Linked DNA regions of Alligator mississippiensis. The main gene of each other region encodes a partner of the protein of the gene in region 2 in a complex. Links are inferred from orthologs where the notes say so. Each region holds a gene or a part of one and is shown on either strand. Other genes may lie near its edges.

Evidence for each region.
Region 1: the proteins of LCK (region 2) and CD8A are in contact, whole or in part, in an NMR structure (PDB 1Q69), measured with the Homo sapiens proteins. The link is inferred for Alligator mississippiensis from reciprocal best matches to the Homo sapiens genes LCK and CD8A. Residues at the interface, in NP_001036236.1 of Homo sapiens: Cys20, Asn22, Cys23, Tyr25, Pro26, Ile27, Val28; in NP_001139345.1 of Homo sapiens: Arg212, Arg213, Val214, Cys215, Lys216, Cys217.

Annotation. Positions count from the first base shown.
Region 1 is NC_081825.1:14,441,128-14,452,197, reverse strand, and holds the start of CD8A (T-cell surface glycoprotein CD8 alpha chain), read right to left. Parts: upstream 5,186-11,070; 5' UTR 4,907-5,185; coding exon 4,867-4,906; intron 3,926-4,866; coding exon 3,566-3,925; intron 3,233-3,565; coding exon 3,137-3,232; intron 2,293-3,136; coding exon 2,182-2,292; intron 1-2,181. UniProt on the Homo sapiens protein: Integral membrane glycoprotein that plays an essential role in the immune response and serves multiple functions in responses against both external and internal offenses. In T-cells, functions primarily as a coreceptor for MHC class I molecule:peptide complex.
Region 2 is NC_081829.1:5,614,213-5,624,405, reverse strand, and holds the start of LCK (tyrosine-protein kinase Lck), read right to left. Parts: upstream 4,759-10,193; 5' UTR 4,418-4,758; intron 1-4,417. Other genes in the region: protein FAM167B, read right to left, coding at 9,126-9,389. UniProt on the Homo sapiens protein: Non-receptor tyrosine-protein kinase that plays an essential role in the selection and maturation of developing T-cells in the thymus and in the function of mature T-cells. Plays a key role in T-cell antigen receptor (TCR)-linked signal transduction pathways.

The DNA.
Region 1 (11,070 bases), on a different chromosome or scaffold from region 2:
ATGTGTGTCTGCATCTGCTTCAGGGTTGGTTCAACCACTGTTACTCTTACTTTACTTTTAGGCCACCTTTAAGTGAGACAAGCTGTCCTTGTCTGAGCACATAATCCCATGGACAACAGTGTCATGGCTATTGTGAATCAGGTCTACTTGGGTGACTGGCTGCAGGACTGAGTTTTACTCTGTAGAGAGAAGTGTAACTTGCTACATTAGAAATGTCGTCAGTGGATTTTTTTTTCACTCTCTATGGATTTGGGAAGCTGGTAGAAATTCATTCATTCAGGAATAGGAGTAAATATTCAGTGGGCAAGTGACCTGAATAGGTTACACTCATGGAGCTGAGATCAGGTTTTGCACCATCACGGTTGCCCTCCGTGCTGCATCTGCTTCACCGGATCAGTCTCTTCTATAGAAATACCAGGAGGTTGAGAGACAGATTGAGGCCAATTCTCAGCCGGTGTAAATCAGCATGGCTGTATTGAGTTCAGTGGGGCTATGCTGCCTTTGCCTTACTTCAACTGGGGCCCTGGCACACTAATCCAGAGTCATTCTTGGTGCAACTCCTCCAACTTCTCTGAAGGTTACTCCAGGGATGTATTCGACACTGTCAGTTATGGAGCCGGTTATTTTAGAACAAAAGAAATAGGTCAGGGCTGGCGGCTAACTAGTTTTTGTGTCCCTGGTGGTTCTCTCCTGGGGGGGATCTCGATGCCACTCGTATATTGGAGAAATAATTGCTTCAAGTGAATGTTCACCGAAACTTCAAATCGGCATAAAGAGCAAAAAGAAATTAACTGACGGCCGATATTCCAGCTAGCTGGATTTCTAAAATGCCTGTTCTGGTGTCCTACCCTGGGGCATAGGATTGAAAGCGTCAAAGACTTTGGATGCTGTGTGCTGACTTAATATGTCCTCACTTGCTTTGATGAAACAGAAGGGTTTTTTTCAGCGATAGACATTTCAGTAGTATTTTGTATTATACATCGCACTGCGTATGCAAGACAGTGGTGGCTTATTACTGGATTGTTTATGCCTTTGGTACTCTCGGGCTTTGGCAGTTCGTATTTCTCAGGGCTGATCTGATGTGGGAATTTCACTGGTTTAATTCAATCAGGTTTGAAATAGATTTGAAATGGTGCCACCCAGTCAGTAGTTAAATCAATTTGTGACAAGTTAGCTTAGGTCACTAGCAAATTGGTTGACAAAGGGACTGAACCTAGTTAAAGAAATCAGTGTCGCTTCTCTTGGCCCTTACCAATGAAGGTTAAGTGATTGAAGCCCCCTGTTGACCCAGCTGTAAATGGGGGCCTGGGTATTGTGGTGGTGGAATCGGAGAGAGCTGGACACGATGGCAGTCGCCTCCTTCCCTTGTGTGCTATCGGTTGTAGGCGCTGATATGCCTTGACTGCACTGGCCAGGGCCTCTCAGTCTGGGCAGAACATTTTTGCCATTAGTACTCTGTCGCCATGCAGCTATATAAATTGTAAATTGATTACCTTTGTACCTTTGTTTAGACAGAGCATTTGCACTGATTTATGTCTCTCAGTCTCTGCCCTGTTACAGTTAAATGGCTCATCTGGGCATAGTTGCACCAATATCAAGGTAATGGCCTCAGTGTAATTTGTCATAGAGTAATAAATTCCCTCTACTCGTTCGTGAGAGCTGGGATTCAGCTGGGGTGCTATGGCATACACCTACATATGATTCACGAGAGAAACCCAGCCTTTTCAAATGAGAAGTCACAATGACAAGACCAGTCTTCCTTCCTTCCTGAGTTCTTTGCACCACAAGAATTGCTCTAGTATTGTTCTGTCAGCAAAAAAGGAGTGCAAACAAAAAGCTGGCAATTTCCACGGGTGCCTTGAGTCTAAAAAAGGTTCTAATATTTCTCTATTGTCTAATCCCTCTTTAGACAATACAGCTCTCTAGCAACTGAGGACTTTACAGGAGGGCTTTATACATGGAGACAACACTAATATTAAGTTTAGCTTTGTTACATTCTTCAGATGCACGGCACCCCACTTGCACAGTGCACGCGCCAAATGCCTGCGTTTCTTTACAAAGCAAGTGGCTGCAAATGCCAACCCCCTTGCCCCCTACCCCATGTGTCCCTGTTCTGCTGGAAACTTCAGTCTGCCTTTGGGTGAAGGGGGGACTGTCTTAAACAGGGGATGGTTCTCTTACTTTGACAGGTTATGATGGTGGCCAGCAAGGCGATGAGGAGGAAGAGGCAGGTGCCTGCTAAGGGGATCCAGATGTAAAAGTCACAGTTCAGCCATGTGTCTTGGGTGAGTGCTAGAGAAGGGAAAGAGAGCAGAAACGAAAAATAAACCAGAGGCTGGCAACAAGGCTCATCATCCCCAGCACAGCTGCAGCAGCCTCCAGCAAGGTGGGGGCATGCAGTTTTCTTTGCGCTGCCCTGGTCCCACGCCCCTGCCTTTCTCCCATGCACTTCAGAACCAGCCAGATCATGCAGGGGCTCTGGCGATTCCCCGACTGGGTCACTGGCTGGTTTGGGGCAGATTTTGGAGGTGAGGGTGGCAGGAAGCTGTAGTGGGGGGGAGATGGCTGCAATTCAGCATAAGAAAGAGCTATGAGATACACTTCATGCCTGGGAGGGATCATCCAGGATTTTCCATGCTCTGTGAAGTTGCTACCGGCTGGGCTCACAGCCGGGAGGAATGGGCAGGTGACTGGGAGGGATTATATTGCTGTGACTTGTTTGGTAAACCAGCTGTCTGGTTCCCTAGGCTGGAAAAGCACGCTGCCCAAAGCCTGCTGAACTTGGGAATGGGCCCTCACTCCCTGATCTGCATGACCAAAGCATGAGAGCTTTCCCAATCTCTTGAATACCTGCGCACCCTAGGCCCTGAGCTGTGGCAATTGCTTTGCAATACTCTCTTCAGCCTGAGAAAGCCACCGCTGGCCCATCTGGAGCCAACCCAGAAAAATGTGGAGCAATGTCATGTCAAATACTAGCAACCTCCCCAGTACCCACATCCCAGGAATGGGAATCCCTTCCCAGTCTGTAGCTGGGAGAGGGGCTTCAGGAGGGTGCTGCTCCCAGCCCAGCTACCTCCCCAGACCTGGATCCCAGCTTGCAGCCCTTCTCCCCAAAGCTGCATGAAGATGCTTTTACCTGGACTTTGGGTGCCTGGGCAGGTTGTCATCGCTGGGGTTGTGGTGATGCGTGTGGTGGTGGCTGCCGTTGTGGTGGGCGGCTGTGTAGAAGGCACTGTAAGGAACAATAGGAGGAACAATAGGAGGCTGATGAAATCCATCTTCAACCCTTTTTCCACCCCAGTCTTGCTCCTCAACCAGGGGTCTAAGGCTCAGCTCCCAGATACCCATGCACAGCCTATCTGGACAGAAACTCCTCCTCAAAGAGCTCCTCTGAGGAGGAAACTCCTGAGGGCCACGTTCCCAGAACAGGCTCCAAAGAGCAGCAGACTCCCATGTCTCTCTTTCTGTCTTATTCCCAGACAAAAGGGATGGAGGGTACTTCAGTGGTGACTGGGATGCTAAGGATGCAGCTGGCAGGGTACTGAGGGCAGGGGCTGGTGCTGACCTGGCAGGAAGACCTGTTGCCCGGAGCTGAAATGCAGCATTTGGTTCCGGTTGACAATGCAGTAATATTCCCCCTGGTCCTGCTCCTGAAAGGGCTTCACAGTCAGTCCGTAGGTGCTGGGCTTTTTACTTCCTACATAGCGTGCTTTGTCTTTATTGCTTGCGTGTGTCACCCGGGAGATGGAAGAGATGAACATGATGAAGCGGAGGACAGAGTCCTTGCCTTTGTGCATCCAGGACACGCCGCTGTCTGACAAGCTGCTGTCTGTGATCACACACTCCAGCTCCACGGAGTCTCCTGGCTTCATGGGTCTGTTGCTGAGGAGTTTGACCTGAATCTGTCCCTGGCACTTGCAGTGGCCTGAGGGAGAGAAGATCACCCAGTGCACTTACCAGCACAGCTCTTGCCAAGGAAGAGACAGCATCCTCGCTCCATCCCAACCCAGAGCCCCATCCCCTGGGCAAAGTCTCGATCCCCTCTGAGTAGGGCAGCATGCTGTTGGATCAGTGTGGTCCTAGTGTGCTCAGCAATCCCTCTGCTTCTTAAAACCAGCTGTCCGTCCCCCCAAAGATCATCCCATTCAGAGGAGCCATCTGTATGGAAGTGACCCTTACCAGGTCTTTACAGTGCATTTGTGCTGCTTCAGGGGTATACTTGGTAGCCGTGTTGGTCTGAGACAAAAAGACGTACAAAAAGCTAGAACTCTTGGTTCCAAAATGATAACACAGCTCACAAAGACACTCGCATGGACCCAGAGGGACAGCCTTCCACCTTCAGCTCCCTCTGTGCAAAAATGAAGTTTATTTCCTACCTACGGGGACTTTTTACCATCTTGTACCTTCGACACTTTTCCCAGAGTCTGATGAAGGGACTTTGATCCCAAAAGCTTGCAGAAAAGGACAATTTTATTGCTATTTTCCAGTTGGTCTAATAAGAGGTATCATTTTGGAACCACGAGTTCAAGTTTTTTGTGTGTCTTTGTGCTGCTTGTGTTTAGAGCCCGCAGCCCCTCCACCCCGGTCAGGTGCTGCGCTCAGCCCCGACAGTGCACATATGGAGTGTCTCTGCTGCCAGCCCTGCCTGCCCAAGATTAGACTTGGGCCCTTTTCTCTGCTCGCTCTCAGGATCTCTGTAAAACAACTAAATGGAAAATGAGCCTCTGATTGCTTTCCCCCTGTGCTCAGACACTTGCCCTTGTGCTTGGCATCCACTCTGCAGGGGACCTGGAGGGAGCCCCCTGCCCTCCCACTCCTCCTGACTCCTCTTCTAGAAGAAGGGCTCAGTAGCAGTTCCATACTCACACAGACTGAGGAGAAACAGCAAAAAAAGGGATCGGGCCATTTTCTCCTTGCATCGGCTGTCCTCAAGGCAGGCACGGCAGAAAGAGATGATCTCACCGGGTTGACTTCACAGGACCTGGTGGAAAGGAAGTGATGTCAGCGGGACCACAAAGAGAAAAAAGTTTTTCAGCTCCCAAAGTAAAATATACTCATGGAGTCTGGATTTCTTTTTTAAAGGATGATATGTCAGCTACGTGATCATCTTTCCACCTTTTCTTTGTGCCATTCAAAATGCTAAAAACACTTGAGCACTGGAGCCTTGGATCAGTGGTTTTCTACTTTTTATGACCCCCTTTTTGATTCACCCATGCAGAAGAACAGAATAATCACAGTTCCCGGGTTGAAAACCCCTGGTTTAAACCCTAAATTGTAGATTCCCAATGGAAAATCTGTTGTGTAATCCTGAGCCTCAGTCGGGTGCTATAGTGAGGGAGGATACCCATGCAATGTGTACCCTACTGATGCACTGGCTTATAACATGCCATTGCACATCTGCTGTGCAATATATTCCTGACCTGGCAAGAATACTTTAGATGCAAGATAACACAGGGCTGACATGTACGTTAGTTCAGCCTTCAGTTGAGCGTTTTCATGTTTGCAATTTCTTTGCTAACGTTGCTTTGTGCAGCTCTGAGGGTCTGCACTGCTTGAAACCCACCAAGAAGGTCCCATGAAGCTGGTGGTTTTTTTTCACATCTTGTGGTTTTTGTCTCTTAACCACCGTGACTTCCGCTCTCCAGAAGTGGAGCACATGTTGCACAGGGCCTTTTGCCTTCTGTATCTGGGCCATTGCAGACAGATGGTGGGTGACAATTTCTGAGACCTTGCGTGGCACAGCAGATACTCCCCAACATCAGAGAGGCGCTGACTTGGGCTGCAGGAGCCTTTGTTTCTTCTCATGGCTGCTTCTGACGTTCCTTTCTTTCAATGCCAACCGATCGTGCAGCAGGGGGTCTCAGGGGAGCTGCTTTTCCATTAGCTGCTCGGATGAAAACATGCATTTCCCTTTCAGGCTGGAAATGAAGCACTGCTGGCTTTTGATTGTTTCTATGGCTGCTACTTTGATGCAACATCTTTGAGAAAAGCAACACACAATGTTGAGTGACTGGCCCCATTTCAGCAGGCATGAAAGGATCTGGAGTGCACGTGCTTTTTCTAATTTGTGTCTTTTCTGAGATGGTTCAATGAAAGGGGAAGCAATTTTCCATCAGGTCTCACTACAAGTGAGCATCTTTGAAGCTATGAAACGTGATGCCAATTCCTGCCTGCCTGTAACAGATGTTCGCAATATTAAGAGAAAACATGTTTCATAGATACAACACAACTGTGACCTGTTTTGCATTAAGAAGAAACATTTATGATTTGTACTCAGCAAACACGTAGATCAAGAATTACTATCGAGAGCCTTGAGTTGTGTCCAGCGCTGTCCCTTTTATAACTCTCTGACTCAAACTTAAAGTGAAAATATCCTTTGAAAAGCACAATAAACCAATTAAAATAGAGTTAAAGACCACCTGGAGTTCTTCACATGGTTCCCTGTGTTATTACATTAGTTCAGCATCAGTTTGGATGGAGACAGAGGTATAGCTATATCAATCTCTAAAATGTATTTATTTTGGAGTGTTTTATGCAATCTCTAGGAGGGAGACCAAACCTATATTACACTTTTTTACTTAAAAAAAAACCCCTATACGGTTACTTTAATATTCTACATATTCAAATGCCATAGTGAGAGGTACGTATAAGGATTTGTTGACAGTGGAGCAGAGTCATGGATAAACTAGAAGGGGCTTCCTAAAGGGGATATACAGTATCAGGATATGGGCAAATATACTTGTTAACCACTTTAAAAGGGGAGGGTGAGCTGCTGCTTGGGAGTCTATCGGCTGTCATGGTGTAGCTCAGGGGCGTCAACCCCCCGCATACTGGCCAGATCTGGCCTATGGAGCCACATCATCTGGCCCTCTGGGCTTCTCACGGATCAGCTAGGGGGGAGCGGTGGCAGTGTTAATTGCCGCTCCTCTGCGGTCTGTGGGGAACTTGACAGACTGGATAGCATGGCCCTGTGCGCTAAATTGGATATATGCAGGGTTGGGGTGGGACAGGGCCAAATCCTAGGACATGGGGCCAGGCTAGGGCAGCACAGTACCCAATCCAGGCGCGTGGGGCCTACCCTGTGTGTTGACCCCATCATGTATCCAGCCTGCAGACTGGCCCCATTGCATGCATCGGGCCAAATGGTTGGATCCCACTGGTGTAGCTGTTACAGCTGCCAGACCCTGGCATGATACAAGTGAACTAGATTGCTGTTGAACCTGAATGCGACAGGTTTAAAGTTACAACAGTCTTACGACATCTGTATTCATGAACGCTGCATGCCCACAGTGGCTGGGGGGAGGGGGGGGGGCAAGGCAAGCTCCCGCAGGTAGCAGTGCCGTTGGCAGCAGGAGCATGGTGGCAGTAAGTGGGGAGCTCCCACAGGCAGCTGTGACGTTGTCGGCAGTAAGCGCCGATCAGTGGTCGGTGACTACCCGCAAACACCACTGGCAGTGGCGGCGGTGGCCAGTGGCGATCATGGACCTCCTGCAGATGCTGCTGGAGGTGTTGGCAGCAAGGGGGGTAGGGGGGGATAGTGAGCGGTGACCACCCACGAGTGCCGCTGGCAGTGTTGGTGGTGCCTTTTTCCAGAGGGCACCGGCACGCTCGGGGTGCATGTGCACCTGCGTGCACTCCCTACACATTGCCAATGTCTGTATTTTTACAGGAGGATGCAACTGGAACAGCTAAGTCATAACAGTTAGTGTCATATCCTTTGATACTGATGCAATACTTAGGTCTCTATACCCCAGTTCTCCCAGGTCCACTTACCAATAAATACTATTGTTAGTCTGCTGGTGATGTCTGGATACCAAAGCACTGTTTCCTGGCTAGTACTGGGCAAGAATATAAGACAACAGATCTCTATCCAGAAGAGTTGATCACTTAAATGGGATTCCATGCATCTTGGCTATTTCCAGCAGGACTTTACATGTTCTTAACAGTTCTGTGGATACCTTTATCTTTGCGTTGTCATCTGCTGAAATACTTTATGACTCATTTTTATGAGGAAGACAATCTTCATGTCATTCGTCCATTGTCACTGCTTACTATGCAATGTGGATTGGTTCATCTCTGGTACAAACGCAATGTGAATGACATTAGGGGGTGCTGTTCATTTATGTTTGTTGCAATGAGGACAGGACAAACAGCCAGCAGTTGCAAAAGTGGCCTTAATTAATTCATTTGCTGTGGACCTGATTTTTAAAATCAAACCCTCTTGGGTTAAACTGAAGTCAGGGCAGCCATTTGACTCCTTGATTTTAGCTACACATCAGGTGTTTGGAGATCAAAAGGGTCTAACCAGAAGAAATGTATGACTCCTTTCTGTCTGCATCTATCTGCTCCGACTTGCGACCTTTTAGGGCAGGGAGCATATTTCAGTTGTGTCTTTGTACAGCACAGAGCACAATGGAACAGGACTCTTAGTTGCATGTATTATCAACAACCACAACTGCACCTGAAAAAACTGTAGTGCTTTAATAAAAGCAGACCCTACATAAATAAATAATAATAATTCCACAGAAAGGCCAATCCTTCCATGCAAGGGCTAGTGGCTGATTTCAGTTGCACGGGTGCAAACCTGCTGTGATTGTCTCCATATCAGGGGAGTTGCCAGGAATCCACACCAACCCATCTGTAATAAAACTCGATCTGCTTCCTGCTCAGCTTTTATTCATGGCTTACTTGTCTTCACTCTGGGAATCTTCTCCTGAATACAGAGGAAGTGGAAACACAGAGCATTTGATCATGCTGCTCTACCAAAATAGGAAGCACATACATATTTTCTACCTCTTCTGTGCAGGTGGGGAACAGACTGCACGCGAGTGGGTGGAATCTCTCCACTGACTCTTATGGGAGTTGGGTTAGGCCAGCAGTTATGTAAACAGGTTGTAAATCAAAGCACTTTGCTGGGCCTGGATTGTCACAATCACTTGGGCTAAGTACAGACAGTTAAAAAGCCTGAGGCTGAATCAATTCAGTCTTTGCAGGTTTGTCTAAATTGCAGAGATTAAACTGAGAAACAACTGGACACACATTTACTTTTGATTCAGGAAATTCAACCACATGCCTGCAGTGGCTCAGACCAGAAGCTGAGGGGCACTAGAACACGCCTCTCTGGCACATAGCCAGCATGGGCTGTGTGTTTGCTTCCTCTTCCTGCTGCCTCCAAGGTGTCTGGGATTTGCAGTCCAGAATCACAGCAGCAGGATTCTGCAGGGTTGCTCATCACTCCCTCTTCCTGCTACCAGGTGCCTCTGGGATTTGTAGTCCACAGTCACAGCTAGCAGTAAGTTTCATGAAGTTTAGCAGCAGGGCAGCTCTGTACTCTGGGCAAGGTGGGTTTAACCCCTCTCCCTGGCCTCAGACCCCAGCTGAGGTTTGCCTTGCGGGGGGGAGGGGGTGCAGTCTCTGCCTCTCCCTGCCTAGGGTTACCATATGATTGGGTTTTCCCAGACATGTTCTCTTTTTTGGACCCTTGTGTTGCACCCAGGTGGGTTTTTAAAATAAGAGCAAATGTCCAGGTTTTCTGCTCTCCTGGTCTGGCTGCTTGGGGTTGAGAGAAGCAGGCAAGGTGATTGGCTATCAGGGTTCACATGCTTCCTGCATGGGCTCTTGCAAGCCAGAGAGAGAGAGAGAGAGAAGGCACACGCGTAATGCGGGAGCTGCTTGGGCAGCAGGGCTGGTGGGGAGGGGTCTACGGGTCAGAAGTGAGGGGCACCAGCAGGGCTGGGGGAGAAGGGGCTGTGGGTCCAGGGTGCAGGACACTGGCAGTGCTGGGGGGGACGGGCTATGGGTCAGGAGTGAGGGGCACGGGGGACAAGACAGGTGAGTATGGGTTGGGTGTGCAGGGCACTGGCAGAGCGGGTCAGGAGTAAGGGGCACCAGTAAGGGGTGGGGGGCAGGGTACTGCTGTTTGGGAGTGAGGGGCACTGGCAGGGTTGGGGTCAGTGGGTGCAGAGTGAGGGGCAGCAGCGGGGCTGGAGGGGTGTGGCTTATCAGTGAGGGGCAACAGAATGGGCAGGGGCAGGGCACCAGCATGTCACTGCCCTCCCCACCATCATATTCCCCCTGCCCTCCCCGACAGGTGTCTTCTTTTTTGGACCTGGAAATATGGTAACCCTATCCCTGCCCAAACCCTTCTCTGCTGGAGCAGACAGCCCAGCCCAGCCCAGCCCAAGGCTAGAAAGCATGCTTGGGGACTGTGATTTAACTTGAACCAGGAAGGGGTCTGGGACAAAAGTTTCATAAACTGGTTTGGCCCAAATCAGTTAAGTCTAATATACTACATTCAACCAGGTTTATCTTAAACCAGTTTCATCCATTTTGAAATTGGTTTATGTGTACTGAACTTCTATTCAGACAGAAGGAGAAACATTTTTGGGGGGGGGCTGAGCATGCATGTGCAGGTGTACACACTCCCCCACACAGGAAGGTCTGCGGGGAAAGGGCCATGTAGGGGTGGGGGGAATGGGGCTGGGACCGGGCAAGGATTGGAGAGGAGCTGGGCCTGGGATTGGGGCCAGGGCCAGAGCCTGCTGTGCCCATTCCTTCCCCTGTGCCTGGAGTCATTGCTCGGTACCAGTAGCCCTGTGATTCACTGCCCCACACTGGGCCCGGCTCCGGCCTTGCACTGCCCAGGGGGGCTGGTTATGGGGTCAGCTTCGGCTGCACTGCTGGGCCGGAGGGGATGGAGCCCATGGGAGCCCTGTGCCCACCCCCATCCTCCCCAGGAGGAGCCTGGCGCCTCCTCTAGGGGCAGGGCACTTAGCAGCCAAGGGGAGCACTGGCCTCTCATCTTTGTACGGGACAAAGGCGGGCTACAGCTGCGAGCTGCACTCTGCCTGCTCCATGCCTCGCTGCTGCCTTTGAAAGCAGCGTGGTGCAGCACCATGAGAGTCCCACTGCTGGGTAGGCCGGGCAGTGAGGCACATGGTGCTGCACCATGCTGCTTTCAAAGGCAGCAGTGAGGCATGGAGCAGGCAGAGTGCAGCTCACAGCTATAGCCCTGCGCAAAGATTAGGGGGCCACGTGCCCCACTTGGCTCTCTGGCGCCATGCCCCTGGA
Region 2 (10,193 bases):
AGAGATGCCAAGAGCCCACAACTCTGAACAAAGTCCCCGCAAGCTGCCCGAGTTCAACCCCTCTGAAATCTAGGGTCCCCCAGGTGCCACCGACTGGAGCGCTTCAAAATCAGCAGCTGCTTTTGAAAACGCTATCCTTGATCTTGTAGCTTTTGTTCTAAAACAAAGCAGTGCAGCTGTGCAGACAGCTCAGATGTACCTGTTTTTCCACCCCCTTTCTACCCACTGCAGGCCTGTTCAGATGCAGACAACAGGGGAGATTTTCCAAGGCAGGGCAGGGGGCACCTTAGAGACCAACCGGTTCGGAGGCATCATGCCTCTTTGAACCAGTTTGTCTTAAGGTGTCACCGTGCCCTACATTCCCCCCCGACTTCAAACTCTCAATGGCGTTCAGCGAGAGATAAGGGGTCTACTTACTGCTGTGCCTCTAAAGGTCTTTCTCCGTCCCAAGTAATTCTGGTTTTACAAGTGTGATTACATGCAAAGAAAAGTAACGGGGGAGGCGGCTCTGTGGAAGGGAACAGGACAGCGGAAGTTCACTGGAAGAGTACATCAACAAGCGAGACGCTCCGAGCCTGCCCATCCTACACGTAGCCTAAAGTCTTTCCATTGACTTCAGTGGAAATTGGAGCCCAGATGACGCCGAGTAAGGAGAAGAGAATTCATCACCTGCTGGGAAGGACGCGAAACGTCGCAGCAATATTGCGCTGCATTTGTTTTCAACCACCTCTTGGTTCTTGCCTGAGAATCCCCCCCCCCCCCCCCCCCCCGCCTTTTTTCCTATTTTTTTATTTATTTTATTTTTTTTTATAAATCAGTCATTGTTTGCTTTGGGTGGAAATGGGAGAAAACATCATGAAACTCATCCTCCCGCAGTTTCAGAAACCTACTGCTTCATAACAAAGGCAAAAGAGAGCAGAAAAAGCAGAGGGTACCCACACAGCCTGGAAGTACCCATGAAATAGCAGCTCTTGCTGAGCGACCCACATGGTCAGGGGAGTAAGGCCTCCGTAGATCCAACAAAGTTTGAGTATCCTAAATTAGAAAGCGGCAACATGCTATGTGTTCTGGGCTATGTGAGCCATGGCCTTGTGTTGAGTATCCCAACCTCTGTCCTCCTAAACAGCACACAACGGAGGGGGCTCTGTGCATCAACCAGGGTCTAGGAGACGGCCAAGTTCAGCCCTGACATAAAGCTCTAGTTCAGGCAGGACCTAAAGGGAACGATTTAATTAATTTTTTTAATCCAAGGTGTTAGGAACAGAAGCTGGGGGGGGTCAGGACCTAAAGGGAACGATTTAATTAATTTTTTTAATCCAAGGTGTTAGGAACAGAAGCTGGGGGGGGTCAGGACCTAAAGGGAACGATTTAATTAATTTTTTTAATCCAAGGTGTTAGGAACAGAAGCTGGGGGGTTTTATTCTCACTAACACCTAATTAACACTTGGGGGGAAAAAAAATCTCCCTTTGCCATAAACCAGCTCCTCTGGTCTTTGCAAGTAAGGCAGAGAAAGCTCTTCATGCCCATCTCGGGCACCTCTCCTCTGCCCCGACTCCAACACAACGAGTCTTCCACCAGCACCAGGGAAAACAGATGCAATTAAGTAACGCCGCCACCACCAGCACTGCGGCCTTCGGGCCTTTCTTCCCGAGAAGTGAAAGGCACAGCGCCCCATCACTTTGGCCAGGTCGGCTTCCAAAAAAGTGCTCCAGAGCAGCGTTGCTCAACCTGTGGGTCGCAACCCAAAAGTGGGTTGCAACCCAAAAGTGGGTTGCAAGAATGTGTGAAAGGGTCATGAACAAACTTTAAAAATGGATTCTCCTTTATAGGAGAAGAAACCACGGCTTTTCCCTTGCAGGCTGACAGAGCTCCAGCCTGCAAGGGGCTGCTTGGGGCCCCCCATACCCACCCTCTACCCCACACACTGGGGGCCTGGAGTGGGGCAGCAGGTTGGGAGCGAGGGGCACTGGGTCAGGACTGGCCATCGATGTTTACAAGTGGGTCCTGGTACAGAAAAGGTGGAGAACCGCTGCTCTGGAGAAATGCAGGAGATGCTAGATCCTCATCTTGTAAAAGGCACCCCACGGACTACCGGAGAGCCAGGCAGATGCAACTTCTGTATCTCCCATTTAGCAAGAGAGGGGTGGAAAAATCGAAGAAATATCCACCCTTGTGGAAGAAAAGCAACTCCCTCAAACAGCATCCCCTAGAGATACAATCAAGCATTTGAAACATGACTGTGAGCGAAATGCAGATGATGCCACGCTTGGGGTGCCCCCCTTCCTATGAGAATCAGGAGTCGGGGCGGAGGGGGGGGGACGGGGACACGACTCTTTTTGTCTTTCTTGCTTAAGCCACAAAATAATTTCCACAGAGGAGCTGTATCACCTGATCAGCACCTGGGGCTACTTTGAAGTCTGTTTTGTTTCTCTCTGGTGACTGGCTTTGCCTGCATAACTGAAGTTTGGTGTCAGTTTGTGGGGGGGCGTGCATGCCTGCGTCTGTGTGTTTGCCTAGCTTCGGTCCCATGTACGTGCGGGTCCCCGTGGGTTTGCAGCTCTGCACAGTTGTCTGGGCGACTGTGTGTGCTCATCTGTCCGTGTTTGCCCTTGTTTCTTCTGGGTGTGTGTGCATCTCTGCTTGCCTCCGGGCGCATTTGTGCAACTGCATCGTTGGTTCTCCAGCCTGTTCGACTTGAGGCCCCCTTCAGAAAATGCCAGCTCTTAACTTGCACTCGTGTTTTTGACTGCAGAAAAATAAGGCAGCCATTTCTCTGCTGCAAAGAGCTTGGAAAGCCTGCAGCAGGGCAGGATGGGTTTGACACTGTGGATTCCTATCGGGAATGGCTGGGTTCGCCTTTGACCCGTGGGTAGGTGCTTGCACACTTAACAGCGCTAATATTGCAAAACACCCAAAAAGGATCTCCTGGTTGACAGTCACAGGGCTATGTGTTTATCTGAATGATGGCATCTGTCTTCGAATCCGTGTGCGTGTTTGCACTTCTATGCGTCTTCATGCCAAGCCCGGGTGAGACTTGGTGGGGAGCGGGAACACCTCTCTCCTTGGATCGGGCTGGGCCCCCTGGTTCAGGAGGAATGTGCTGGAGGTGGAGCATGGCAAGGCGAGAGAAACTATTTTCCCTTGAACATATGCCAGGGATGTCCAGTAATGTTGTGGTCCTCTCTCATCTGACCCACACCCCCGATCGAAGCATGCTGCAGTAGCCTTGCTTTGACCAAGGACAACAGCGCCCACATTTAAAAAGCAAACGCGGCAGTCAGTGTAGTCACTGCTCACCACAAAAGACAACCCTCAGCCTCGGACAGTACCGATTTGCCCACAGGAATGACCCCCGTGTCTCTCATATGACCAGTGAGGTCAGCCCCAAAAGATCCAGTTCCCAGAATATTTTGCAAGACCAGGGGGACCGGATAACAGTCTGAGCAGCCTCAGGCTCACAGCTGCCAAGCTACCCCGTCTATGGTCCCGACTCGAAATCTTGGATCCACACAGCTTGAATTTTGCCCCTTGGTCCCTTCTCTTATTTCTTGTGGCTTGGGGTCAGCAGAGAGGCAACTTCAAAGGGGGCAGCTTGGAGAACTGGACACAGCCTGGGTTTGCAGCTGCATTTGGGTTTGAACTCAGACAAGCAGGCAGTTCTGCACTGAGTCTGCATTTAAGAAGCTATAGACCACAATACCAGCCAGGGGTAATTCAGTGACCTTTCACTGCAGACACGGATTTGCCCTGCTCCTCACTTCCAAGACAAAACAGCCCCATACCAACCAGACCCTCCAGCCTGCTCCCAGCTTCAAGGCTGGCAGCTCAGGAACGGGGAGATCCAAGGCAGATTAGACAGAGCGCTTGACGTTTCAGGGCACAACTCCCAGCTTTCCTCCTCGCTTTGCCCTGGAAGTTGGGACTTTGGAAGCAGTGACTCACTAGACTCCTCACCCTCACTCCAGCTGGGGACAGTCCCTCTGGGGATCCCCTTAGAAAGCAGTTTTAGTAGGATTTGGGGAGGGCTGGCAGGGAGATGAGGGCTTGTGTTAGAGGCAGCAACTCAAGAACTCAAACAGCTCAACGGCAAACATGGGTCTTTCAGTCCAAAGGTCTTTCAAACAGGACCCCGTACCCCAACCGCGACCAGCCTAAGCAGCCAGACTCCTCTGTGTACTGGCCTGATACCATAGTGATGGACTCATTTCCCATTTTATAGTCTCACTTCACCCCCACCAAAAAGCAAGTCCTTCCCCAAAGATGTCGTTCTTCCCCAGAGGAACCATCGCTTCCCAGCCAGGGAAGAGCTGGCACAGACCCCAGTGCCACTCCGTGCCCGCTCATGACAGCAATCCCCAGATCCCAGCCCGAAGGCACAGCTCTTTTCACCCAACACGGCCCCAGCCCTTCCCTTACCTGCTTGCTGTGAGATGGAGCTGAGCTGCTTTTAGATCTCCATGGCCAGTGAGTGAAAGCACCTTCCCAGTCACATGCTAGTCTCCATCCTCGGGGTGTAGACCATGGATACAACCTCCCGGACAGCAGCCCAGCTTGTCCTCACATCAGGGAATGGCAGCAGCACGGTCTCGCTCGCTCTCGCACTCTGCCTTCCCTGATTTCCTGCCTTCTGCAATCTCATGAGCAAGCTCTAGAAGTTTGTTCTCAGCACTCGCCCGACCACAGCATGCTAGCGAGGGAGGTTTCCTGCCATCCGCAGGCCCGTCATTCTAAAGATGGAAGCTGCCGGTACAGAGGGGCACCGTCACTGCCTGGGTATCATCTCCCCACTGCCGACACAGGTGTTGGCTGTGACTCCTGCTGCCACCCACCACCCCGCAGGGAAGTCCAGTGAGAGACATGCAGCACCCGGCGTACTGCAGATGCTTTCGGCTGGTCTTGTAAAGAGAGGATGTTAAGAGTGCACATGTGGGGGAAGGTAGGAGTGTGGGGGTGAATTCTGGCCTACATCCTAATTAGGCGCCAAGTGATATGCTGCGCATATCAGGAGGGCAATGCAAAAGTTTAAAAGATCCAAGTTTGGGTGACTATGCCCTGATGCACACAAAACTGGAACTCTCTCCATGGCCCTGACATGGCCCCAGTCCCCGGCATCACTGAGGATAAGCAGCCCTGCAAGGTAAGAAGGTGCCATTTCCCCTCGGGAAACTGAGGCATAGGTGGGGGGCTAAGCAACATGACCAAGGTCACACAAGCCCCACGTGGCAGAGCAGGGAATTGACCCCGAGTCCCTGGATAGCTCCCTCACCACGGCGCTGGCCTTGCTCTCCTGTTAAAGGGGTCTCTTTATCTTTGCCACGAATCCAAGGTCCCAGCACAATGTCCAGCATAATGATGCCAATACTCTCAACAAGATCAAAGCCAGTCTGTCCCCCTACCCAAAACACACAATCCTAATGATTCTCCAGCCTGAATGGTCCAGTGCCCATACCCACCTTGGTTGACAAGGGGCAGCCTTTGGCATGCGTCCAGAATAAGACTTGAACTTGTGCCCCTGGAGCTGTAGCAGGACAGCCGAATCATTTTCCATGTCATGATCTCCCCCTACTCTGTGCTGTACCGCACAAGTGATAACCGTTACCAGCAGACAGAGCAAAATGCACCCCTGACTCACGTCCTGCACGGTGACTGGGTGATGTGCTAAGTACCAGGGCCTGAACACACCACCAAGAGCAGACCACAAGCAGCTGCAGCTTGGCTGCTAACTCAGCAGTTCTGCTTGGACTTTGGTAGACAAGGCCAAGGAGGGTGAAGGGTTCAGAGGTGTGAACATGTCCTGAAAGCCCAGTGTCAATAAGTGAGAGAGCCCTGTGCTTACCAAAAGCTTATCTCCAACTTAGTCTATAAGATGTAAATCTAGCCTGCCTTCTGTTGAGAAATGAAACAGAATTTCTCTTCCCCAGCAGTCCTCCATCATACCTCATCTTTCACCACTTGCACAAAGCCCCAAACTTTGCACACATGGTGCGAGAGAAAACCCACTGCCCTGCAATGCTTGCAGACTAAAAAGAAGGGGAAAAATAAAAGGTGGGAGTGGAAACAGGGGCACAGAAAAAGGAAGGAACATGGGCAGGGTCACACAGCCAGTCGGTGGCAGAGGCACCAGGACACGCATCTCCAGAATCGCCACCCAGAGAGCAAACATATGCCAGGCCGTGAGAGAGGCAGGTAATGAGCCACAGGGGAACTGAGCCAGCCTTCTCTGACAGAGAGCAAGGGCTTGGCTTTCTTCTTTCCTCTCCAGAGAGGGGCTGAGCAGCGAAGACATCGTCTTCAGAGGCACTCCATGTTACCTTTCCGAAGCCCTACGCTCTGCCAGTGCTGACAGCACGAGAACCACAAAGCTATTGTCTTGGCTTGTGAGATCAAATGCAAAGCCACAGGTACCAACAGCCAGCTCTGCAAGAAGGAAGGCAGGAAGTCAAGAGAATATGACACAGAGCAACAGGGGAGAGAGGCTCGACGGGGGGGCCACGACCTCCATACAGGGCGATATGCCCGGGCACATGTCAGGGGCATTTTGAACAACAAGGGCAACCGTAGGAGTGAAGCGCCTCCATCTTCCCCATAGCCCAGCTGCGATCTTTATGCCAGCAATTGTCCCACAGGCAGCAACGCGCGTATGGATGTTGCTCTAGCTTGGGCTCTGGCTAGCTGTCTTCGGAGAGACTTCTCCAGGGGGCTAGCGGAAAGGGCAGTTTGAGCAGGAGGCAATGATTAAAACACCCTCAATTCAGCACTTCCACCCAGCTGACCTAGCAACTTGGCATCCTGTCCAGACTCCTGCTCATGTACCTGCAGACCTGAATTCCTCTCCCAGTTTGACTGGATGTGGTTTCAGCTTCACTTCCTGTCCTAATGTTGCTCTGCTTCGTTAACATGCTGCTCTGACCCACCCCAAAGCAGGCTGTGTTTCAGTGGTAGGCAAAACAAGCCTCTTGCATGGCGTAAAAGTTTGCAAACCCGCTTTAGGATATTTCAGGACCAAAAAATAAATAAATACCATCAAAGCATCAATCAATCATTTTTATTGCTGTTATGGCAACTGTACAAAAAAAGACAGGTTCGCTTTGCGAAGGATATGTCAGGCTTTCAGCCTCTCTGCAACTGGAAAGCAGCGACAAAACCATCAGCACCCACTTCCCATCTGCCAGCACAGATCATTAAAAAAAAAATCTAGCATCCTCTTTTATCATCAAAAACACTGAAAAATGGCAAAAATATTGACTGCTTTTATGATAAAGCATCGGGGCGGGGAGGGACAGGGACTCAGTCCATTTTTCAAGGCAAAATAAGAACGCTTTTTTGTTTGAAAAAGGTCAATGGGATCTCAGTGTTGTGAAGCTCTGACAATCTTCCTGTATTTTCTTTGAAGGCTTGGAGCCAGAAGATCCTTAGCAGGCTTCTTCGCTGCACCAGCAGCAATTTGTTCTAACAGAAGCTGCGGGACTTAGGGCTGAAAATTTGCAGCCAGGGTTTCAGGGTTCAGCTCCTTCACTAAGGGTCTGAGCCGAGCAGGGGGCCAGGACACAGGGCCCCTGGATTCTCCTCCCAGCTCTGTCCCCAAGTTGCAGGTGTCTTGGAGCAGGCTGTACTACTTTCAACCCATGCCTCCATCAGCAGCAGCCTCCCTCTTTGGTCGATGGCCCTCAGCAGAGGCTGTGAGCTTCCACAGATCTGGCACCGTGCTCCAAGATCCGCGGCAAAGTGTCAAGTCAGGGTTCATCACTCTCAGCCAAAGGAACAAACGTTCCCTGGAAAAATCAGCTTCCCAAACAAGGGGTCAGGGTGGGGACTGCAAGCCCCTGCAGGGCTGAGGAAAAAAAACCCGAAGTCTCCCAGCTGCGGGTAAGTCATCACACAAGCCGGAGAGAACATGAAACACAGAAGCTGCCATGCATGTGGCCAAACAAAGGCACCTGCTTCGGTGGGGCTGTTCACCGGCTCCCCATAGAGCCGGCACCCCTCTCATCTGAGGCCTCAGCAAAACCAAATGGAAACAGCAGCGTGTAGCGGAAGCAAGCGACAAACCCAAGGTGCTCGCCGCCTTTTTCCTCCGCCATTACCAAGAAGCAGCGTGGAGGGGGAGGGGACTGGCCCACTCAGCGCAAGGCTGGGGGAATATGGATTAGATGGCTTGATCAGAAGTAATCCCCAGGCCGAGTCAGGCCAGCAGTAGGGGCTTCGACGTAGGTGTGTGGCACAGGGGAGGGAGGCCCCGTCTGTGCAAGCCTGGGATCAGACAAGTCTGGGGGCGGCAAGGAGGCCACTAGCACATGCGACACACAGAAGGCAAGCCGCCTTTGCACCGCCTTCTCTTCTTGCTGCATGGAAAGTTTGCTCATGCTTTTCAGCATCAGCAAGCAGCCTCCAGCAACGTGGCATGCGTCACTGCAGCCGCAGATGCTCCAGCAGCGATGCTCCCTCCCCTCCCATGACAGCATCACATGCTGCTGGGAACAGTTGGCTCGCCTTGTGCACGCCACATGGCTGCAGGGCTGCTCACCTTGTGCAGGCTCAGGGGTTATGGCAAATGCAGAGCTCTGTGCATCCTGGAGATGCTGCTCCATACAGCAGAGACCCCCCAGGAGCAGGGACTGAGGAGCGAGAGGGCAAAAGCCACCGCAGGGCAACAGGAGGCAGCCAATAGGCCAAATGTGATGGCAGTAGGCAGGGCTCAGCTCCCCTGCTGCCCGCCAGCCTCTGCAGCGCACATCCCTCCAGTTGCAAGGGATTGAGCTGAGGACTGAAGACAGAAGTGAGGCGAGTCCAACTTCCCCAGCTCCATCCATGCCTCAGGTCCCAGGCGATCAGGGCAGCCCTGGCCCAGTCTTGCCAGGTCTGGTTTCAAGCAAGCTGTTGCAGTATCGCCAACAAGGGACACTCAGCAAGGAGAGATGAGGCACCTCTGGGCAATAGGAGCAAGCAAGGCAGCAGGATGCCAGAGCCAGCAGCCTGCAATACTGCAACCCCGCACTGTTTTCCCTCTAACCTGCCTGTTGGGTTCTTACATTCAGCCTGAGCGTCTCTGCAGGGATGCGTGGTACAGCTGCCCACGTTCAGGGCCAGGCGGTGCCCCTCGACAGCCTGGGGGAGCCTGGCAGCCTCAGCAGAGGGAGAAGCGGCGGGAGTTGATGTTCATGCGGGTGACGCCGATGTGCTTGAGCGGCGTGGAAAGGAGGAAGGCAGCTTTGGGTGGGATGTTGCAGAGCAGGTCTGAGTCCTCCTCACAGCCCTCCAGGCCGAAGGTGGCATCGTCCAGCATCTCCTTGTGCTGGTGGCAGGCCTGCTCCACCTTCAGCCGGTGGATCTGCCCTCGCAGCTGCATCAGCTGCCGTGCCAGCTGGTGGTCCACGGCCTGCATCTCCTGCTGTGCAGAGGGAAAGAAGAGCCATGAGGGAGCCACCACTGAGACTGCGCTGGAGCCAGACACAGAGGAGCCCCAGCGGGGAGGTCTGCACAGCAGAGCATGGCATGACCACAGCATGCCCACCCAAGCCTTGCACTGCCTGTTCTCTCCTAGCTAGCACACATACTGTAGCACAGCTCGTAGGCTTCAACTCCATAGCAGCTCTTGGGGGCCCCTGAGCACATGCTGCTGCCTTTCTAGAGTGATTGTGGCTCCAGGCTGCCTGGGTTAAGCGTTGCATAGAGAGCCATGCCTGCAGCTGGCTTAGTCGACACGCTCCCAGCAGAGCCGCATGGGCAGCAGGATGAGAAGATGCAGCGGGACAGAGGCCCAGAGATGCACACAGAGATATGGGCAGGGGTAGACAGGTGGACAGAGACACAAACACACAGAGAGGTAGGAGACATGCATGGAAAAAACACAGATGGGCACACATACACACAGCTGTACTGACACACACACTCCAAGATAGGCAGCCAGATATGCACAAGGAATCGCAGACACGTGGACAAAAAAGGAGACACGTCGTTGCAGATGTACAGACAAGGACACACCGACACAGAGGCAAATGCCAGAGTCGCACATCAATGTACGCGTGCACACACACACGCGTCCAGATCACTCAAGGCAAAGCAGAATGGCACCAACAGCTGGGTCAAACATGTAGCGGCACACGCCCATGCGAAAGCTGCCCCAGGCCTCTGATAAGCACTTGCTGCAGGGCGTTTCCCTCGGGTCTGGACGAATCAGTCCTGGCTGCAGTGA